2 linked regions of the Drosophila melanogaster genome follow. The protein of the gene in region 1 interacts with the protein of each later gene in a pairwise test. Each region holds a gene or a part of one and is shown on either strand. Other genes may lie near its edges.

Evidence for each region.
Region 2: the proteins of TpnC73F (region 1) and CG14655 interact in a two-hybrid assay, tested with the Drosophila melanogaster proteins (one large-scale study listed by BioGRID).

Annotation. Positions count from the first base shown.
Region 1 is NT_037436.4:17,041,654-17,049,395, forward strand, and holds TpnC73F (troponin C at 73F), read left to right. Parts: upstream 1-4,409; 5' UTR 4,410-4,603; coding exon 4,604-4,615; intron 4,616-4,687; coding exon 4,688-4,805; intron 4,806-4,869; coding exon 4,870-4,926; intron 4,927-5,696; coding exon 5,697-5,948; intron 5,949-6,311; coding exon 6,312-6,340; 3' UTR 6,341-6,737; downstream 6,738-7,742. Other genes in the region: scaf6 (SR-related CTD associated factor 6), read right to left, coding at 41-387, 450-620, 785-806; Papst2 (PAPS transporter 2), read left to right, coding at 1,413-2,264, 2,321-2,502, 2,565-2,721; POP5 ribonuclease P/MRP subunit, read right to left, coding at 2,827-3,006, 3,060-3,297, 3,353-3,372.
Region 2 is NT_033777.3:4,775,258-4,784,765, reverse strand, and holds CG14655 (uncharacterized protein), read left to right. Parts: upstream 1-4,463; 5' UTR 4,464-4,691; coding exon 4,692-5,147; intron 5,148-5,646; coding exon 5,647-6,256; intron 6,257-6,426; coding exon 6,427-6,938; 3' UTR 6,939-7,269; downstream 7,270-9,508. Other genes in the region: Ccdc39 (Coiled-coil domain containing protein 39), read left to right, coding at 82-333, 392-539, 671-2,479, 2,801-3,495; atms (antimeros), read right to left, coding at 7,327-7,902, 7,962-8,928, 8,987-9,060.

The DNA of each region.
Region 1 (7,742 bases):
GCATATAGAGGTATCCCAGTTATTTCCAACTTCAAATTACCGTGTGCTGTGCGGAGAGATTCGCTTCGGATTGCTGGATCTGTTCCCGCAGCGACTTCTGCTGCATCTTGATGGCTTCCAGTTGTGACGTTAGATTCATGGCCATGGGATTGCCATTGGCCTGCTGATTGTTTGGCGGCCCACCGTTGCCGGAGTTCGGCGGCCAGGAGTGCTGTGTTTGCTGTTGCATATTGTCTTGTGCGGTTTCGGGCGGGTGCGGTGGCTGCTGATTGGGTGGCGGATAGAGGCCCGGTGGTTGGGATTGCTGCATTGGCGGCGGATGTTGCATGTAGTGGCCGGATGGAGCACCTGGTGGCAGTTGTTGGTTAATGGCCTGTTGCTTTAGCACTGTATTGGGTGTTAAAAGGAGATTATAGGGGTTATTTTCCACCAATTTAGAACGCACTCACGAGCTTGTTCCGCTGCCACCCTGAATTGATAATAGTTGGCGAACTCCCCGCCGTAGAGGAACTCGAACTTTGGATTGTTCTGCTGCTTCTGCTTGGTTATCGCCTCGAATTCCGGCCCATTTCTGGCCACAAACTCCGCCAGTTTGTCGATAATATTTCGTAAACTGGCATCTGCAAATAGAAAGCAAATGGTTTTTGCAAAAAATGTGAGCATATCAAAGGTTGTGCGTGCGCTTGTTTGTTTGTATGTGTACACATGTGCATGCCAATCGACTTGGGCACAAAATTAGCTTGATTTTAAGTTATATTCAGCACTTTTTAATTGCTGCACTTACCGCGTGGCGGTTGCACGTCCATTTTGCGACTGTTATTAGCACTATTATCCTATGTAAAATACTAAATTCATAACTTTTTGCACTTTTTCAGCGGCACTTTTCACTGCTTCTTCTTGTTTTTTCCGACAGTGTGCCCATATCTTTGTATTCTTAGAACGACATGTAGTCAAATACTAGGAGTTACTCTCGGCACTACTTTTTAAGTAGTTTTTAGCGCTTATCATACGCTTTTTTGAGCAAAAAAGCGGCTTAAACCTTTATCGCTGCTCATTTGTTAAATGTATTTATTGCCAGTAGCAGAAGTTCCAATTAGAATGACGGTGGTAGCAGAGCTGCCAACTTGTTCCACGTTATACCGGTCTCTCTTCTATTATTACCACAACGTGGCAACGCCGCGCGTCTATCTCAGTTCTAAGCTGACAAAAATAGTTTATTTGTGGTAAACAAACATTTAGCCAGGGCAATTTGCACCCAACAGAAATCTCCACGCCGGCCCGTGATTAATGCAGCATCCGAGGAGGCATGACAAATCCGCACTTTAAACCGACAACTCCGCGGACAGCGTGGCATTGAATTACACGGGCTCCCTGGAAATATAATCTTGAAATAGCCACTATATAGTGTGTATATGTATATAGACACATCCGCTAGCAGCAGAATGACCGATAATAAGGGGAGCGTTATCACCATTAATGGCGGCGAATCGGCGGGAAACTCGCCGCCCTCGCAGCGGAAGTCCTCGACGTCGGAATCTCCGCCGGAACTCCGTATCCTTTGCTTTGACCTCACCTACTACAATCGCACAACTCAGTTCCTGCTCAGCTGCGCCGGCGTCTTCTTCCTGTACATCCTGTACGGCTATCTGCAGGAGCTGATCTTCACCGTCGAAGGATTCAAACCCTACGGATGGTTCCTCACGCTCGTCCAGTTTGGCTACTACATCGGCTTCGGTTTGGTGGAGCGGCGGCTGGAGGGCTATCGGATAAGCGGCGGTTCCTTTTGGAACATTGAGCCGGAGCCACGTTGCATTCCCATGAGAACATACCTAATTCTGGCTGCTCTCACGCTGGGTACCATGGGTCTGTCCAACTCAAGTCTCGGCTACCTGAACTATCCCACCCAGGTGATTTTCAAGTGCTGCAAGCTCATTCCCGTGCTGGTGGGCAGCATCCTCATACAGGGCAAACGCTACGGACTGCTGGACTTTGCGGCAGCCACCTGCATGTGCATCGGATTGGCCTGGTTCACGCTGGCCGACTCCCAGATGACGCCCAATTTCAATCTGCTTGGTGTGGCCATGATTTCGGGAGCGCTGCTCTGCGACGCAGCCATTGGCAATGTCCAGGAGAAGGCGATGCGGGAATTCAAGGCGCCCAGCAGTGAGGTGGTGTTCTACTCATACGGCTTGGGTTTTGTGTACCTATTTGTGATTATGCTGGTTACCGGCAACTTCTTCAGCGGCTTTGCATTCTGTTTGGAGGTGGGTAACATTTGAGGTTTATGATGTAAGAGATCTAAAGTGTATTATCCATTTAGCATCCCGTTGAGACCTTCGGCTATGGCTTCCTCTTTAGTTTGTCCGGCTATCTGGGCATTCAGTTTGTGCTGGCTCTGGTGAGGAGTAGTGGTGCCCCCATAGCTGCCACAGTGACCACCGCCCGCAAGGCTGTGACTATAGCCTTCTCCTTTGTGCTTTTCAGCAAGCCCTTTACCTTACAGTAAGTACTATTCTGTGTATTTCTAAAGACAAAGCTCTATTATACCTATCCCAAACTTTCAGATATCTGTGGTCGGGCCTCATCGTTGTCCTGGGCATATATCTCAATGTCTACAGCAAGAGGAACAAGCTGACGTTGGCCGACGTCCGGCAGAGAATAAAGCAATTTGGAGCCAAGGTTGCCCGCTCACCGAGTCGCAAATTCCTCATCGAAGTTTAGAACGATACCAAAAACACTCACATTTTAGTTGAATTGGAAGCATGGGTTTTCTATAAGAAAACCATTAAATATAATTACTTAATTACATTCTAAACAAACTATGTGCTATCTGTCCATGTCGAACTCCATTACGCGCTTGAAGAGATCCTGGCGCTCCTTGGCGGAGGTTATCTGACCCATGGTGCGGTCCAGGAACTGTTTTTGGTGCTTGACTATGAACTTGTTGCATTGGATGATGGTGGCACCAATGTACAGCGTCCTAAACTTGGCCCGTACATCTCCGATCTGAAAGAAATGTGGTTTTATAGCTGGTTTAAGGACATGGCAATGAGACCAACCAAAGTAATCAATGGCAATACGCTGGACACGAAGCGTTGGCCTCGATGGAGACAGCGTATGATTGCCATTTTCGTGCGATCGTTGATGTATTTCACTCGAAATCCCTGCTCGATCACGGCGAGGCCATAGACTCCGTAATACTTCTCCACATTCTGAAGCAGGATCTTGGTCAGGCTGTGGTCGTTGAGTCGCAGAGATTGTGTTGGCGTGTAGGGCACAATCTGCACCGCTATATACCTGTTTATGGATGGTTTAATTAATGATCGTTAAGGAAAACGCGGTCAATATTTACCTATTCTTTATGCGAACCATCGCTGTGTCATCAATATGGCAACGTCGCAGATAGTTGCCAGACCAAATTCGCTTCAACTACCGATAACGTATCGGTTTTCAAAATTCCGGAAATAGCTGTTCGGTTTTTTATGTGATAAATAAATGTTGTCTTATTGTATACGGATGAAAAAAATATTCCTCAATAAAGGATTCAGCTGTATTTAAATAAACGTTAGCTGGAAAAGACTATTTATATATCTTTATCCTTATTTGCATATCCGATATTCTCTCTAAAAAATTCAAATTTTTTTCCAAATCCAAAAGTCTTGTAATTTATTTGGAACGCTTGAATAGATAATGACCTTGTATGTTCAATATGTTTATATAGCGTGAGAACTTAGAATTTCTTATTTGGTGTATATTTTCAATCGAAAAATCAACCTTTTACTTTTTAGAAAGTCTTTTGTTCGAGTTTGATGTATTGAAAATAAATGCATGGACATACATTGTTTTCCACCCATTCACTTGTATTTTGACAATTGAACAATGGATTCGGGGAATCGGACAGAGAAACTGGCAACTTGTCGACCAATTCATGGATGTGGGCAGAACATTCCTCACTGCCGCTGCCCACGTTTCGCTCTCCGGCGACAAACGGAATGGGGGGCATTGCTCCAGTGCCAGTGGGGATTTCTCCATCTGTTCGTTGAATCTAAACACATATCTATATAATATATAGATATATATTCGCAGACTTGGGGATGCGGGGATCTCAGCGCAACGCATCGCATTATAGCTGGCTGGCGCACATATGCAGATATCGTGGCTGCCCCGTCGACGGCTCCCCATGCCGCTCCACTGGATGGGATGTGCTCCATCCAACGAGCGATCGGTGGCCGTGGAAAACCACTATACGGCTCGTGTTCAGTCTCCGGGGCAGCGAATGCGGCGGGATACGCTCCGATCGCGTTTTATTTTTGCTTTTTCCCATCGCACTTTACAGTCATTTCTAAAAAACAATAAAATTCGGGCAGCGGCGTGGAAAAACGCTACATATACTCCAACGATCCGAACATCCACCGATTGATCGGCAGCCGCATTCGTGTTTTTCCGCTTTTCCGTGGCAAGTTCACCGATTGTGGTCTATATTTTGGAAAACGCATCCGCGCAGCCTCGCAGTTGGAACGAATACTCCGTGACGATCGCTTCGCAAGATTAGGCTGATCAGACAGATCCCATTGGCAAAGATATACCCAAAAGTAGCAGCAACATGAGCAGCGTCGTAAGCATCTGAGATTTTTCCAGCTCCACAGGATTGTCGATGATTAATACCTAAATGTGTGTCCAATTCCAGGATGAAGATCTTACACCCGAGCAGATCGCCGTGCTCCAGAAGGCGTTCAACAGCTTCGATCACCAGAAGACTGGCTCCATCCCCACCGAGATGGTCGCCGACATACTGCGCCTGATGGGTGAGTTTTGGGGTTGAGGATGTCCATTTGGATGAAGGAGTACTTATTGTTTTTACAACTGCAGGTCAGCCCTTCGACAAGAAGATCCTGGAGGAACTGATCGAGGAGGTCGATGAGGACAGTAAGTAAACGCTATTTTTACAACGTATGATAGATATAGTCGAAAGTTGCTGAGTATTTCAATGATATTTTATTATATTTACAATTTTAATATGAATACAATTCAAAATAGACAACATTTGCATTTGAGTCATTGAGTCAAACTGCCAATTAAAATAATTGTGTGGCATATATTTAATTTAATTTATTTCAGTCCCCAAGTAGAACAGGGTGAAAATTCTACAAAAACTAAATGCATATAGTTATTATAAAATGAAACAAAATAAAAATGAGAAATGCATCAATAATATATATGTACACTTGTGCCGATTTCATGGATGTTTTTTTCTTTCGTTTAATCGATTTGTGTAGTTATATATACACATTTTCCTTCAACATCTATAGTCTATAATCTATAAAAATCTATCATCTAAAAAAAATATTATCTTACAATTAGAAATGAAATCAGTTTTTTAGATATTATATAGGTGTAATTATGTGCAGACTCTATGCAAAAGTGACTCTATGATCCAATAACAAAAGTGAACAAAATATAAAAAAAATAACCTTATGACAGCTGCAAGTAATAAATGTATATATTTATTGAATAAGGTTTAGCTGGCTATTACAGCAAATCACAGATGATTCACCATCGAGTGATGATTAAATTTTAGTTACTCGCTGTCATTGATTTATGATCATAGTCGTTTTGGTTGCCCCATCATTAGCCGCTGGCTTTCCAGTCGTTTTTGCAGTTAATTATAAACACTTGGAATATTTGGCACATTTCAGAGTCCGGTCGCTTGGAATTCGGCGAGTTCGTCCAGCTGGCTGCCAAGTTCATCGTGGAGGAGGATGCGGAGGCCATGCAGAAGGAGCTGCGCGAGGCGTTCCGTTTGTACGATAAGCAGGGCAATGGCTTCATTCCCACCACCTGCCTGAAGGAGATCCTCAAGGAGCTGGACGACCAGCTGACCGAACAGGAGCTGGACATTATGATCGAGGAGATCGATTCCGATGGCTCCGGTACAGTGGATTTCGATGGTGAGTGCCCATTCCGTTTGATATTAATACATTCTAGTGGCTTTCCATTCACATCCATATCCATATCCACCCACATGCATACATACATATATATGTATAGTGATCATAAATTTCGATGATCTTGAGATCGCTCGATTATGACAGCTTGATGTGATCAACGCTCCCATGGAGGAGCATATCGTTGGCTATTTTTGGGCGCGACACACAAATTCGATTCCACCACACGCATTTTTCATTCTCGGAATAACGTACATATTTACATTTTGTTTTCGTGTTTATGGAATATTTATTTATAAATGCATATAGCGGTTGCTCTGGCGCGATGGCATCGGTTTAATGTCTGTCATTTTGTTTAATTTACAGAATTCATGGAGATGATGACTGGCGAGTAAATAAACGCAATGCGTCTGCCACCCACCAACCGCCAACCCACCCTGGAAAACACCACCCACTTTCCCACCCTCCCAGAAAAAAAAAACAACACACACATGCACACTCTACACACACACACAGACGCACACGCACACCTGTTGGACACACGTTTGTTTGCTCCTGTTTGCACACTTGTTTCGCTTTTTATTTGCATTTTGCCCCAACCATTTTACCATTTTTTTTGTTTTTGTTTCGCGGAGCAAACAAATCCACGTACTTCAGTTTGACAATGCCAAACACGAGTAGAAATAGAACTTTTGTACTACTTTTTTATACTAAAAGAAGCAACGGAATACTGTGTATGCGAAAAAATAAATGTTATGCCATGGCAAAAAAAAAAAATGAAAAAAAAAAACCAAAAAACAATTCACTCTTGTTTTCATTTGTTTATGGATTATTTTTTGCCGCCAAACAAACACGTCCATATATTTCGCTTTGATAATGCGAACAAATAGAATGTACTTTGAGCACTGGAGAAATGCCATAAATCTTAATCAGTCTTGAAATATATAGAGGATTTCCCAGCACTTCTGAGTTTATTTTCCTTATATGAGTGTTATTTATACTTTCACTTATTTATACTTTTTGCCGAGCAGCAAAACTTAAAATTAATGGCTAGCCAATTAGTCATTAGCTTTCTTCACAGCGACAAATTATTGCTTATATTATTTTGTTGTCGGATTAGGGTTTCCTTCTGCCCAAGGATAAACAAAACCGCCAATTTTGATACTCGATTATATATATAGTGTACATACCTTTTGAGCAAAACAAGTGAGCTATAAAATCAATACAAACAGTTTGCTTATTTTTAGCGCAGATTTGTATTGTCTTCTAATGCTAAGGAATTTTATAAATGGTACTTGAATTTCAAGTTAAAATAATACAACTATTTATAAACTGCAAGCGCTCAAGAAACGCCCAGTGAAAGAGTTTTTATAATTATATTTCAAATATAAAAAAATTTTGTTAATTAAGAAAATGTAGTTTATGGCAATAGATTTGTTCGTTAAGTTAGTGATTAGTATAGACAGCTTAAAAAAAAAAATACTAAACAATAGAGAAGTCGAACTTATGATCATATACAAAAAAGTAAGTTAAAGATCATCATTGTTTTTTCTCAGTAACTAGTATGAGTTTTGTGAATAAGTTACATTGATTTTATTCTACAGTTTCTATAAACATATTTACAATTTAATATATATCCACATATTGTTATTTATTTCGTTTAAATAGTGTTTAGTATATTTTCTAAGCACCTAAGCCCCAAGTTTTTAATCAATTTTGCAGTGTCCCACATTTCAATGCCCCATTTTTGTTAACAAGTAAATGTTATGCTCTTACCAACAGCTGAGCAGCGAGTTG
Region 2 (9,508 bases), on another chromosome or scaffold:
GTTTTTACACTTTAACATTAGTGGCAAGTGTGAAGTTTTCCTATTTAGTTCGGCCTAGCTGAGAGGCTAATCTCTAACACGATGAATCGCACCGACGACATGAAGAATGCCTCGCTGAACGACTACAAGCTGGAAGCGATGGCCTCCGTCGGCTGGGCGGTGGACTCGGACATTCCAATGGCGAGTGCCGAGAACTTGGCCATCCTAAAGGAACTGACTGCTCTGCGGGCGTTGAAGCTGGAGCTGCAGCAGCACATGAACTCGCTGGATGAGCGCGAGATGGCGGTGGAACGACATACCCGCAACATTGAGGGCACTATTCAGCAGAACCTGGTATGCTATATATATGGCTATATGCTCGATCTGTTGGTCATTTCTTAGTACCACCTAGACACTGTACAGCTCCCTGAAGGATGATGTTATCAAGGAGGCGCACAACGTCCAGCTTGTGATCTTGGAGCGCAACAAGATCAAGGAGGATCTGCGGAAGAATAACAAGGAGCTGGAGGAGTACACTGAATATGTCAAAGTCACTGAGCGTAAGTCAAATGTACCCCAAGAACCAAAATGTGCAACTAACCAATTTGCTGGTTATTAAGCACACTAACCATCTATTATATATCATTTGATGATACATGTGCAATTTCCCTTTTGTTTGTCCTATGACCAGGAAAGATTTGCCAGAGCAAGCGCGAGATAGATGAGCTGACTTCCCGCATCAAGTCGGCTAAGACTACCTTGGTGGAGTGGACAGAGGCCATGGAAGACGGAAACAAGGGCTACCAGCTAATCGAAAAGTACTACCTCGATGACCAGCAAAAGGCACGGGAGCTGAACATTAAGCGTCAGCTCTTGCAGGCGGACATCGACAAGCGGCGCAAGCAGGTGGTGCTCCTCTATGACGAGCAAATGACGCTGGAGAAGAATCTGGAGCGAACCGCTTGTCTGTACAGGTCTGCCCACGCGGAACGCCGCCAGATGGTGGAGACGTGGAAGAGCGCCGTGAACCAGATGACCCAGCGAGAGCACGACATTCAGCGCAGCGAGATAGAGTGTGCGGAGCTGGCCCAGAAAGCCCAGCAGACGGCTCAGACCTACAAGGAGTACGACAACCAGCTAACCGAGGTCATCGAGAACAACCGCCAGGTGGAGCTCGCGATCGAGTCCCTCAACGAGGAAAGCTCCGACATGAAAAACCAAATCCAGATCCTGATTGATGCCACATTACTGAAGGAGCGCGAGATCGACGGACTGCGTCGGGAACTGGAGAACCTTTCGAACCGGGTTCACCTGCAGCGCATGGATAACCGTAGTCAGATGAAAAAGCGCGATGAGAAGGCCAAGGAGCTGGAGAACTTCGCTTCGGTGATGGAGAAGGTTAACGCTCGGCTGAAGTCTGTACAGAACAAGGCCCTCAATGCGGAGCAGCGGCTGCAAATTCTGGAGGAGATGATGCAGGCGGAGGAGACGGCTCTGCGAAACCTGGACAAGGAGCAGGAGAAGGTCAACGAGATGTTGTACCGCACCCAGAGGCAGGTCATCGAGCTGCAGGACGAGGAGAAGGTCTTGAAGGTGCAGAACGACTCGCTCAACTCCAACCTGGCAGCGATCAATCGCAATCAGCAGCAGGTCAATAACGAACTCAAGCGGCAGACGGAGATCCATTACAGCCTGTCCTTTAAGTGCTTGGAGGCGGAGCGGCGTCTCGCCGAGATCAAGGGTCTGGCAGATGACCCCGAGGTAGAGGCCACAAACATGGCCCGGCTTAACACTCTGGAGCAGGAGTATGAAAAGTTGCAACGCCTCATCGCCACCACGGAGGCGCAGAATAAGAAGCTAAACTATAACATGAACAACCTGGTCGTCCAGTACAACGCCGACGAGAAGGAGCTCGAAATGGTCAGGTTCAAGATTAAAGAGGCCCAGGTGTACTGCGAGGGCACCGTCAAGAGACTGCGCCAGATTCGATACGAGAATTCCGAGCTCATAGTCGACCTCAACATGGTCAAGATGCGCTGCAGCGACCTAGAGGTTGGCATCGGAGGCTGCGAGCAGGGCACCTACGACCTAGAGCAGCACCGCCTTGCCTTCCGGCGCGCCATCAAAGATCGCACCGTTGAGCTTCGCAGCCAAGAGGATGTGCTCCTCCTCAAGAAGAAGCATCTTAACGAGGAACTAAGCACCCTGCGAGCCGACCTCGGGGAGCGGAAGAAGCAGATTGAGGCGATGAAGGCGCGCTTTGAACTTACCGCCCAATTGCTAGGCAAAAACGAGGACGGCTCCATCATGACCAGCACACAGCTGAAGGTGGTGAGCGCCCAGGAACGGCAGATGCTGGCCGACGAGGGCGATGCCCTCAACAAAAAGGTTCTCAAGGCTGAGAAGGAAGTGGTCGCCCTGGAAAACACACTGCGCCAGTTCGACAAATCGAACGATAACTACCGAAAAACATTCCGATCTGTGGACGAAAACTCAAAGGGTGAGTTATAAATGACCATTCAGAGTGGAAAGGGTTACTAGTATTAGCAACATTGCTCTAATTTTGAATTTTAATAACACTCACAGATACAGATATTGAATAGGAACAAATTAGGTTTTCTGGCTCTATAAAGAATAGATATTCTTGATCAAGATCCATACCTGAGTCGATCTGGCCATTTCCGTCCGTCCGTTCCGACTTTCAGTAACTATAATAGCACATTAAGCGGTCATATTCTAGCCATGTCTACAAGCCGGGTGGCTTAGAATTGTGTAATTCAATGTTAAATTGGTAGATTTTTTCCATACTTCTAATTTCTAGATCGCGAGCGGGCCGAACTGGAGCTGAAGGAACTTGAGGCGGCCTACTGCCGCGAGCTGGAAAAACTGAAGGTTCTCAGGTGCAAGGCACAGCACTACCAGCAGAAGCACGCAGCCCAGCGAGCTGAGGAGGAAGACCTGATTTCCAAAATAGAGAAGGCGAAGGCTAGTCGGGCGGAGCACTCTGCAGTTCTGGAGAAGATCGAGCGCGAACTAGATGACCAGCGAATGAAGCTGGACAGGGCCAATCGAGAGATCCGGACACAGTTGCGGGAGATCAAGGCGCGGCCCTTTAGCGAGGAGTACCTGGCGCAGTTCGAGCGGGATCTGTCTCTACAGGAGCTGGAGGCGCGTAACACCAAGGCGCTGAACATGATCACCGATCTGGCGAACAGCGACGAGAGCGGCACGGATATAATTGGAATCCTCTTGCGAAAAGGAATCAAGTTGCCGATGCACCTGAAGCGCACGTGCAGCCGCGTGTCCTGGAACAGCAGCTCCTCGGGCAAGTCCTCGCAGGGTCAGGACACCGCCTCCTACCTCAATGTTAAGGGCAAGAAGTTCTCCTGCGACGGGGCTAGTGCCCGGTCCTCCGTCTCCGACATGAGCTCCCTTAAGGATGACACATCCTCCACAACCTCCCACTCCGGACTGAGCATCATATCGCTTGAGTTGCCCTTGCCGAAGAAAAAATAATAGTCTAAAATATATTTATTTATTATTCCGTTCGATATCCGATGATCTCAACCCGTATGCTCGTATCTTCACGTGTTGGCATCGCAGTGTTTACAAATTGACCATCTAAACGAAACAGCGAATAAAATGCGTTGCCCAAGCGGGTCAAAACAAGAGAGCATCGCGGCCATAAAAATAGCACACAGCGATTCAGTGGGGGTATAGCTCGGTGCACATACACATAGGCGGACAAATGTGTGTGTCTAGGCGATTGCTTGTTTAAATCGCTGAATAGTAAATACTCTACAAAAGTATTACACAAAATATGTATATTAGCTACCACCTTTGGTGTGGGTTTTGTATTGGTTTTGATCAGATCTCAAGTAAGCTCATTACAGCATTAAGATTTAGACGGATATGCTAATTCAATCTGAAATACTCAATCTTCGTATTTTCCTAATAAAGAAATATATATAATAATAATATTTTCTCAGTTCTTATTTACGAAAATGAAACGAATGATTTTCACTGGTCCGAAACTAAAATCGAAAGAAGAAATCTCCAATAAGAGTACATATTAATGTGTTTACTTTTTATGGAGTGCTTAAAAAATGGAGCGACAATTGCAGTAACCAACCATATTCCAATTGGATATTGGCGGAAAAGCCAATTATTAAACCAATCTGGCGATAATGATAGATCTCTAGATAAGTCCCGCAAATCGCATGTGGTCATCTCAGCGAATTGCTCCTGCGCATCGTGCGTTACAAAGACTAGAACGAAGGCTATATGGCCGCCAGTGCAACATATATCGGCCAGAAATAATTCTACATACATATAGTATATAGCCGTGCTCAGAGCTATATTTCGAAATGAGCTACCCAGAGACACGGAGAAAAGAGACTGCCTTGTTCGAGAGATGGGATTTCGGTGCTGCGAGTGTTTCCGAAAGTCTTCTTGACGATTCGACGATCCGCGCCGGGCATTTCATTATTTTTCATTATTTCGTTAGCTGGCATCGGTGCCGAGAAGTCAGATTGCTGGGCCCAAAGTTTTCAAAAATCTTCACTTGCTGATATTTTTAGAAAATTTTGAAAGCAGAAAGACTAGGCAGTCTGGGAATGGACTCCTGAATAGATGATCACAGACCGAACAGGAGGATAATCCCAATAGGAGGTGAAGCATTTGCATAAGATTCGATTGAGTGCACTGGCGAAATGTGTTCCACCTCGGTGCTGTGTCCGCTCTGCGCGGTGCCCAGTTTCGGCAGTATTGACGCACTGCAGCAGAGGCTGATCAAGGCGGCCAACGGCCCACTGGCCTGTCCCTTTGCCAACTGCAAGGAGCTCTTCCTGGGGCTGGACAAGCTCACCATCCACCTGTTCTCGCACACAAGTCTGATGGCTCAGGAGGGAAACGAGAGTCCAGCGAATGGCCAACCCGCCTCGTCCCGGGGCTTCCTTGCCGCAGCTCCTCCCAAACGGAGGGCCAAGCGAACCAGGTCCAAGCCCGTCGTCCCAACCCCACCGCCTGTGCGGACCACCCCGCCCGCCCACTGCGACATTTGCGAGTTCAGTTTCCGGAATACCGAGCTGAGGGACATGCACGTCCGCTTAGTCCACGAAAATGCGGAGGGAGAACCCAAGCAAAAGGAACCCCAACAGAAGGAACCGGTAACTATTGGCTATGTACATATATTAAGTGCTATTATCTAAAGAGTTTCGTAATGCACTTTCGCATATTCTTATATCGATTTTGATTTTTTTTTTCTATGCTCACTGGCAGCAAAAAAAAATCATACTTAAAAAGCTAGACCATTTACATTGAATCTGAAACAAAAGTTTGACGTAATTAAAATCAACAACAACAAGAAAGAAATCTATATACCCTTATATTTTAAAAACAACTGATGTATGTACGTATATCGTTCCCATTATTTTCAATTAATTTTTCAACTGTTCATATGACTATGTATATATATGATAGATATTAATTTGTTTTTGATCAATTTAAAACCATGGCAACTTTGTGATATAGTGAATGAAAGTGAATGATTTTTGTGCATAAATTTGAAACTGAGAGACAGACGGTAATGTAATGGAATATTTGGCCATGAGGGCATATTGATGAATTGATAAATATAAGTGAAATTCCGATTATTGCTTTATACAGGACCAGGAGCCCTACAAGTGCCATCTCTGCTCCAAGACGTTCCGAATGAAGGGCTCCCTTCGAATCCACCTGAAAGTAGTGCACATGATGGGCGTGCCCTGCTCCAATCCCAATCCAAATCCTAATCCCAGTCCTACACCCGCTTCTACCACCAGTGCAGTTACTGCCACGCCCAAGCTGAGCATTTGCGATCGCATTCGACACACAGAGCCTGGAGCCCTTGGCAACGGAAATAACTCCACGTGCACCGCATCCCAGCCATACGCGCTGAGTGGGGCGCTGAGCATGCTCCAGCAGTCCCCCAGTTCGCCGGAGTCGGGCACGGCCACCCCGAAGCTGTGGGAGTGCGATGTGTGCAGCAAGTCCTTCACCACCAAGTACTTTCTGAAGAAGCACAAGCGGCTCCACACCGGCGAGATGCCGTACACATGCGAGATCTGCGCCAGGACCTTCACCTTCCAGCAGTCGTACCACAAGCATTTGCTCTACCACAGCGAGGTAAAGCCCCATGTCTGCGGGGTTTGTGGACGCGCCTTCAAGGAACTGTCTACGCTGCATAACCACCAGAGGATTCACAGCGGCGAAAAGCCCTTCAAGTGCGAAGTCTGCGGTGAGTATCGATCAAACCCCTTAATTAGCCGCCCCTTATTTTGTTAGCCAGCTTATAAATGAGCATACTCCATTGCGATTTGCCCTATTTACTTTAAATGAAGGAGAGGTATACCTTCTTTTCCGGGTCACTCCATGTCTAACCTTTTCGTATTTCGGACTCGTCCACAGGCAAGTGTTTCCGGCAGCGAGTCTCTTTCCTTGTCCACACGCGCATCCACACGGGAGTGATGCCCTACAAGTGCGAGCTCTGCCAAAAGACGTTCAGGTACAAGGTCAGTCAAAGGACCCATCGATGTCCCACCGAGGAGGCCCAGACACCGGAGCAGCTGATAAAGGCGTTCCTGGAGGGCAACGACTCGCATACTCAGCCTTCACCAGCGAGCGCCGAAATAGCTGCCATCAACAGCAGCTCCATTGTGGATCCTGAGCAGGAGGCACTGCTTTCGCAGTCAATCGACGACATTGTCGTTGAGCAGTGCCAAAAGCTGGGCATCTGTGGTGTGGAGCCGCGGGAGGAGGGACAGCTCATATCCCTACAGCCGGTTGCGGTGGTACACTTCAGCGGGAATGGCTCTCCGCTGCAGCAACTCCAGAACTTGAGAATCTACTCACCGCAACAAACAGAGCTACCTAGTTCCGATGGCGAAGTCTTCCAGCGCTTTTTGATGGACGCCACGTAGTTGGAACGAAGATGCATATATCCACTTAATTTATACCCTTTTATATCATTTTACATTGTTTGCACTTCCCCAAAGGCGATCTAATCAATTCCTAAGCACCCCCTAAGAAAAACGTCTTAATTACATCTTCTTATGAGGATATTATTTGAATCTTAGTTGTTTTATCTCAGCCAAGTGTAAATCGACTAGGACCCGACTTGTTTGCAATACAACAACAACATCTAATATAAATTATGTTAAACTGCCGATTTTATTTAAAACTATTCTGGGCAACGAACCCGAGCGCTGAGTTGAGGCGAAAATGATATTAAATCGAGTTAGTTCAGTTTTCAAATGTACTTGGTTGATTATAAACTTATTTATTATGAACGCCGTTTTTTGTAATTAATCATTCATCTGAGGCGCTTCCAGAGCTGGATCCTGAACCAGAAGGCGAGCCACTGCGAGACCGGCTGGGCGATCGCGACCCAGAGCCAGATCTGGAGCCCGAACGTGATCGGGAACCGGACTTGGATCTCGACCTAGAACGCGACCGAGAGCCGGACTTGGAACGGGATCGGGAACGTGATACCGATCTCGATCTGGATCCGGATTTCTGGGATCCTGCCGGCGAATTTGTGCGTGATCTGGAGCCGCTACCAGACCGAGAACCAGACTTTGAGCGGCTGCTGGCCCGAGAGCCGGAGCCAGATCCAGATCCTGAACTGGACCCGCTGCGAGTTCGACTCCGAGAACGAGACTGTCGATCGCGGGCTACCTGGGCGGGTGAGTCCGCTCCAGATGCTGCCTGTGCGCCAACAGCTGCGTCCTCGCTCGTCTTCTCCGTCTCGCCAATGATTTGCATTTGCTCCTCTTCCCTCACTTCTTCCACGATCTCCTCCTCCTCGCCAGGAACTTCTAGCTGGCGCTCGCGATAGCGCTGCATACGATGCTCCATGCTGTCCAATGGACGATGCTTGACAACCTGGTAGAAATAATACAAAGTAAAGCTCGCTATAGATGTATGCGCATAAATATACTTACCAGCTTGGTGTTGTTGGGTTGCTGGCCAACCTTAACGCGACGCTTGTTAAGGCGCACACGGGTTTCTAGCTCGTTGTAGTAGATGCCGTCCTGACGCATCACGAAGAAGTAGTTTTCTTCGTAGCCCTTGGAAGCTTTGGTCTTCACGTTCCAGTTGTACTCTCGAGCGATCTTGTACTCGTACTCCTCCTCCTCCTTGTACAGCTCGCCATTGATGAAGTCTGTACGGCGTTTCTCCAGCGTCTGCTCTGTGGGCAGGAAGTAGGCGACAAACTGTTCGCCGCTCTCGTCCATCACACCACGAATCATGGCCTGCGACATCTCCTCCAGCTGGGCGGGCACGTTCTTGCCCGCAGGAGCGGGATCACTGTCAAATATGACCTGGGCGCACGGGAACTTCCAGTTGGTGAAGTCGGGGAAGATAGGCAGTACCTCCACTGGCACCACATTGGGCTTGGAATAGTGCTTGGTAATTTCGCTCTTGGTGTCGCTGAAGGTCTTCTCGATGGCTTTGATCTGGGCTTCGCGGTCCAGGTAGAGAGTCTCCTCCCGAAGCGACTTCTTGACGTTGTAACCGACCTTGGCCTCGATGTTCTCCAGGTTCTGGGGCTGGAAGCGCGTCTGCTCGGTGGAGATGTACTCGGATTTGCGCAACCATGACACCGTCCTCGAATGCTGGCGCGAACGCACAGAGTCTGTGGGCGTCAGAGTCTCCTCCTCCAGCAGTTTTTCATCGGCGGGGTCCAGCAGCGTCATGGAGTCGGCCTGATAGAGCTCCCGGTTAATCAGGTCCACCGTGACACCCAAATCGTGTTCCGTCAGCACGTCATACTTGAAGTTACGCTCTAGCGACGTTGGGTTGTACTGCACGAAGCGGTGGCTGTCGAAGGGGTACTGCAGAAACTTCAGATCAAATGGTATATCCGGCAGGTTGTTTCCATACTTCACGCGGCAAATGATCTCGGATCTGCAAGGTACACATCAGTCTGAGTATCTGGCGTCTGTTTAGGGATCTGTTCACTTACTTGCGCTCCGTTTGCCGCTGGGGTCGCTTTTCGGCGGCACTGTTTACCGCCGAATTGTTGATCGTGGGTGGCATTGTGTCTTCCAACAGGTAATTCAACTCAAGCCCCAGTTTTGGTAGCGCTTCTAGTCCATCAAGAGGCCAAATCTAGAAATCCTCAAATCTGCGCTTGGCAGTGTGACCGTACTTGACCGGTACGATAATACCTTCGGTAAAAAAAATACTATATTTCCGGGGACTCAAATGCAACATCCTCATCGTATATAACACAACATCTATTTGAATTTCATTTCCACAACTAATATTATGGATAATGCTTTATTATCATTTTCCAAGTTAGCGATAAATCACCCCACAAGCTGAAAAATCAACGTTTAAAAACGATTGATATTTTTTTTAATACTTTTTGGTTTTACTATTTGAATTTTTGTATACTTTTAGATTTTACTATTTTAATTTTTCGTTTCTTCTAGCTGACTAACGGGTAAAAAAGGATCCGATCCTGATTACGAACGGCTACCAG